2 linked regions of the Kluyveromyces lactis genome follow. The protein of the gene in region 2 purifies or fractionates together with the protein of the main gene of each other region. This does not show direct contact. Links are inferred from orthologs where the notes say so. Each region holds a gene or a part of one and is shown on either strand. Other genes may lie near its edges.

Region 1 (3,149 bases), on a different chromosome or scaffold from region 2:
TTCTTGCTTCTGAATAAGATTTGAATGGTCAAAATGCGTTATAAGTTAGTATTGTGAAACGTAATGATATAAATAGAAAATCATGTTTACACGGAGTGGTGATGGTTCACTCAAAACTCTTGTTAATAAGAAATTAGGGCGTGTGGCGTAGTTGGTAGCGCGCTCCCTTAGCATGGGAGAGGTCTTCGGTTCGACTCCGGACTCGTCCAATCTTTTTATTTCCCCTGTTCATTCTGGACCAATGATCTCTTTTTTTGATATAACGATGTGGTGCCTATTACACACAAGCTGAGAATGTTCTGAGAATTCGTTTACAAACATTTCATATCATTTACGTTAAATATATTATACGTGTTTACTATTTATTTTTGATAATCTTTACTTTTCAATGTATAGTTTGAAATCAAAGAATGATTCGAGGAATATATAAGAAGAAAGATGCTTCAGATGGCGAGATAAATAAAAAAAAAAATAGACGACAACTGGATACGACGTACCATTGTTAAGTAGCTTATTATAGTTATTGATATCAAGCAGCTTCAATTATCCGCAATTTTTTTTTTCCACTTCGCTTTATCAAGAAAAATTAGAAGTTGATTGGCTTGGCGTAAGCAGCTAAGTTAGCTTCCTTGAAAGCTTCGGATAGAGTTGGATGAGCGTGACAAACTCTAGCGATGTCTTCAGCAGAAGCACCGTATTCCAATGCTAAACCGGCTTCAGCGATCATTTCACCAGCGTTAGGACCAATGATGTGAGCACCTAGTAAACGTTCAGATTCTGCGTCGATCAAAATCTTAACGAAACCTTCGGTGTCCATGTTGGTTTTAGCTCTAGAGTTAGCGATGAATGGGAACTTTCCAATCTTGTATTGAATACCAGCTTCCTTTAATTGTTCTTCGGTCTTACCGACCCAAGCGACTTCTGGGTGGGAGTACATGACAGCCGGGATGTTACCGTAGTTGACATGACCGTGGCCGACCTTGAAGTATTCGGCAGCAGCGATACCTTCTTCTTCAGCCTTGTGAGCCAACATTGGACCGAAGGTAACATCACCGATAACCTTGACGTGTGGGAATTTGGTGGATAATTGTTCATCAATGACCAATCTACCACGCTTGTCGACTTCCAAACCGATCTTTTCAGCGTTCAAACCAGCGACGTATGGTCTTCTGCCGACAGCGACCAACAAGACATCAGCTTGGAGAGATTCCTTCTTACCATTCTTGGCACCTTCGACTTCGATGTCAACGACGTCACCGTTTCTGGAGGCAGACAAGACCTTGGTGCTCAACTTAAAGTCGAGACCTTGTTTCTTCAAAATCTTTTGAGTAGTTTGAGCGACTTCACCATCCATGGTAGCACCAATTTGAGGTTGGAATTCGATCACAGTGACCTTAGAACCCAATCTGGAGTAAACTGAACCCATTTCTAAACCGATGATACCACCACCGATGATAGCCAATTTCTTTGGGATTTCTTTCAAGGAAAGAGCACCAGTAGAAGAAACGATTCTTTCCTCATCAATGGTGATACCTGGGAATGGAGTCACTTCAGAACCAGTGGCAACAATAATCCTGTCACTTTCCAAGAGGTGATCTTCAGTAACGGAACCTTCCAGACCTTCCACAGGAAGAACCTTAACGGATTTGTCAGTTTCAAAGGCACCTAAACCTTTGTAGTAAGTGACACCATTCTTCTTGAACAACATTTCAATACCACCAGTCAATTGCTTGACGACAGTGTCCTTAGCCTTTTGAAATTGAGCAACGTTAATGTTGATTTCACCGTTGATATCAATACCTCTTTGCTTAGCATCCGTCTTCATTTGATGGTATAGGTGAGAATTGTTCAACAAAGCCTTGGATGGGATACAACCAACGTTTAAACAAGTACCACCTAGTCTACCTCTTTTCTCAACACAAGCAACATCGTAACCGAGTTGAGCAGCCTTGATAGCAGCAACGTAACCACCTGGACCACCACCAATAACGACCAAGTCGTGCTTCTTAGTAACGGTTTTCAAAAGAGCAGAAGAGCTAAAGGAACGGGTAGAATTGAATCTCAACATCTTTGATTAGGGCGGATATAAATAAACAAGATAAATAAGATAATCCTCTAACCTCTTACTTATACGTTATCTGAACCCTTTCTCTGTGGTTTCACTTGATATATTTCTTGAAATATAAAATATCCTAGTGAATTCCTTTTATATTAATGTCAATTGGAATGGAAAAAAAAGATTACGATCCCAAATAAATACAACTATTAGACGGTTTGATCAATTAAATAGCAAGAAAATTGATCTACAGGACTCAAATACCAGCATGATGCGGTAGGGTTTGGTGATTCACTACGGTACGGACCATATATAAACTACAATTATATAATTGAACGGATTGTAATTCGAAAAAATACTGTAGTATTCCAGAGAAGACCACTTATTTAACTGATCTATATTTCATCGTTCCTTTGCGCAACTTTTAAGTTGAAGAACCAGTTTTTTTTTTATCAATCTATTGAGCTTTCCAAACTGCCAGAGTCATTACTATTAATTATCGAAATGGGATAACACAGTGAACAGAAGTATCTTTGTGAAAAGCTGTTTCGCTGGTGTGATCTATAAAGGCGACGGCTCATCACAAAAAAGTTGCAACTGTCTTGACGTGGGGAACAGGGAAACCTTCGGAATCGACAAAAATTGAAACTATTGAATGAAATCAGTTGAAAAATAACGAAACGAACCTAAAAAAACGGAAGCCGTACGGGGGCCGACACGAAAGGCGCAGGGCGGGCTATCAAGAACGTGATTAACACGTGATTCAAACCGGGTAACGTTTATTAATTTATGATCACGTTGTTTTTTTTTGATTACCAGTTTTTCCTTCTGCCAAATACTCACTATGAGATATGATATCCATATAAAAGAATAATGAATCATGATATATGAAGGATAAGGGAGATTGTTAGCAAGAACAAAGAATAGAGTAGCAACAGTAATAACAAAGCATTAGCCGCAGATATGAGATTTGCACCTATTTTTATTGGAACGGCGTTGGCCAGTTCGTGTATGTTTAAGGACGGATTTTCTTAACCCTTTTTTTTCCCTTTAATTCTCAACTTTACTAACATCATCATCGTCATCGTCAAAT
Region 2 (2,651 bases):
TTCAGACACGTGAACAGCGTACCGTTTTTTGTTTTTTTTGTACTTGAAACGAAAAACAAAAAACGGTACACATTACGTGCTGTTCTGTGGGGAAAAACGCGCAATTTTGTTCCTGTTTGTTTGTGTCTTTTTTTTTTTATTTGGGTTTCATTTCATCTCGCATTTCGCTTGCATCTCGCTTAGTTAGGCTACTGGTATTTTTGGAATGGAAAGCTGCTTAGTCTGAATAGGGCACTGGTGCCAGGTTGGTATTCTGCGAAAATATGATGCAGTAATTTTTGATGTTACTTTTTGATCTTCTTTACTGTGCCAAGACCATAAAGAAGTCTGAAGTGCCTGTTTGGTTGAATTCTTGAGTTGTCGTTTTTTTGTCTATTATACTGATAATATAGATATATATCTGCCGGCTCTTAAGTCCAGTCTATACAGCTTGCGGACGGGGCATGAATATTTCGAAGAAGATTTGGCTTCGGCTTCTTCTAGTTTTTTTTTCCTCTTTATGTCTTGTCGTAATTTTACTCATTGGAACAATTCCAAGTTAGATAGTTGGGCAACGAAATTTTCTGCTCTTTGCTTGGCATCCGTTAACGATTCGTCAACGGCGACGGAAACGTTCAACGCGTATTCGTGACGTGTTTGTTGTTGTTTGGATACTGCGGATGCCTCTTGTTGTAGTTCTTGCGTTGTTGTACCAGATAATAAATCAAAGATATCTGGTTGTGGTGAAGAGGTACGGTGTCTTGGTGTAGGTTCCAAGTCTACTATGTTATAAGTGACCTTGAAACGAGGTTTTGTTGGTTCTTGTACTAGTAACTCTTCGAATAATGGGTCGTATAGTTCGGATGCGTCATTGGTCAATGGTTCGTCGTGTGCCAAGAATGAACATTCCTTGACGTACGATGCTATCGCAGCAGATAGTTGGGAGTAAGTGACGTTTTCTGGGACATGGAGTGTGATCTGTTCGCTTAGTACTAGAGGTAATGGTTTAGCGGGTTTAGCAGCTTGTGCTGCTGCTGCTGCTGCTGCAGTTTCTCTAGCAGGTCTTAATTCGATGTTGGTTAGATCCAATTTCTCATGGGATTTGATGTACTCGGTTACCTTGTTCAACGAATCTTGGGAAATCTTACCCAAATAGGCTAGCACATCACCTTTTAAGATTCTACCGTTTGGACCAGTGGCCTTGATTTTGTCCAACGCATCTGCAGTTGAAATATTGTTTTCCTCTAGTAGTGATAGCACAGATGGGAATAATGTTTGAGATGCATTAGCCTGAACACTGCCGTTCTTAGAAGGTGTTTTTGAAGCACTGGTTTGCTTCTTCTTGTCAGTTTTTTCCACTGGTTTGGCCTCCTCCTTTTTAGTTTCAACTGGCTTTGATTCTTTCTTGGCTTCAACGGGCTTTGGGAACTCCAAAGTGGCCAAATCATCGTCCACATCAGCGATGTATGCAATGGGTTCCCCGACAGGAATATCCTTGGCACCGTTCTCCTTCAAAATTTTGGCAAGCTTACCGTCATCTTGTGCCTCCACGTCAATGGTTGCCTTGTCGGTTTCAACCTCCAAGAGCACATCACCGGCAGAGAAAGTATCACCAGCTTTGAACTTCCAATCAACGACACCGCCCCTTTCCATGGTTGGTGACATGGCAGGCATCCCAAAGGCTTGGGCCTTCAACATAGTTCTACATTGGTGTAATTGACGGAGACACGCCCTGTTTTTAATTGCTAAACGGAACATTATTGAATACAGGTTTTTTCAACAAACACACTACAGTCTCTCTCCTATATCTTCCGTACAGGCCTAACAAAGGATGGTTTTGCTTCTTTTCTGATCTGTGTCGTCCTTATCTATTGTAAATGATACTTTTAATTACCACCTTCTTTCGCTGAATGACGAATATAGGTTTCCAATTTACAGACTTCGTTTTTTCTACCAATAGATTGTCGATAAAATCGTCTTTCTCCCAGAAACAATTGACAACAAAAGTATTCAATTGAACTTTGTTCAAAGCTCTGTGTACTTGGACAATTCAATCTTTCACATATATACTTTATTTCTAAACCTTTCCCATAGTCTCATCTCAACGGTATAAAACCGTCGGGTGGGGGACTGTGTCGTCTCTAGTGGGATAACACTTTTTTTTTTTTTCACAAACAGTGGATAACGATTTCCGGGTAATGTCTTTGAGAGGTTCATCATGTGTACAAAGATTGATTGCCTACTTACTTACTTACTTACTTACTTGCATCATGGCTATTGATGCGTCACGGTCAATTGGAGGTTCATCTAACAGCGTTTTTGATTTAGTGTGATGACGCTTCTCTTTCAATCTCACTTAGAGTTCGAATCTTGTTGTTGTAGTTTTCCCATTTGGCAGCGTCCGAGTTACAAACAAACTCACAATCTCTTTCCCAGTTAAAGAATGCGTTCAACCATCGGTCGAACGATGGGGTTTCGGGGTTTTGCTCCTTGAGCAAGGACCATAGCGCCTTGTAGCAACCGCCTAGAGCACACGAATTTGCAGTTTCTAGTCTGTAGTTACCATTCTTGGCTCCAATGACATTAGCCATCGTTTTGATGATGGCTTCGTTCTTTGATGCACCACCGACGAAAAAGGCTCTATTAGGTCTCTTGGCGTAAGACGCTAAGGG

Evidence for each region. Proteins that work in one complex are often made in the same cells at the same time.
Region 1: the proteins of PDX1 (region 2) and LPD1 purify together in Saccharomyces cerevisiae (affinity purification with mass spectrometry; 3 studies listed by BioGRID). This does not show direct contact. The link is inferred for Kluyveromyces lactis from reciprocal best matches to the Saccharomyces cerevisiae genes PDX1 and LPD1.

The regions. Positions count from the first base shown.
Region 1 is NC_006040.1:950,968-954,116, reverse strand, and holds LPD1 (dihydrolipoyl dehydrogenase), read right to left. Parts: upstream 2,069-3,149; coding exon 587-2,068; downstream 1-586. Other genes in the region: KLLA0_D11143g (uncharacterized protein), read left to right, coding at 3,020-3,065.
Region 2 is NC_006041.1:864,690-867,340, reverse strand, and holds PDX1 (Pdx1p), read right to left. Parts: upstream 1,738-2,651; coding exon 520-1,737; downstream 1-519. Other genes in the region: XKS1 (xylulokinase), read right to left, coding at 2,304-2,651. UniProt on the Saccharomyces cerevisiae protein: Required for anchoring dihydrolipoamide dehydrogenase (E3) to the dihydrolipoamide transacetylase (E2) core of the pyruvate dehydrogenase complexes of eukaryotes. This specific binding is essential for a functional PDH complex.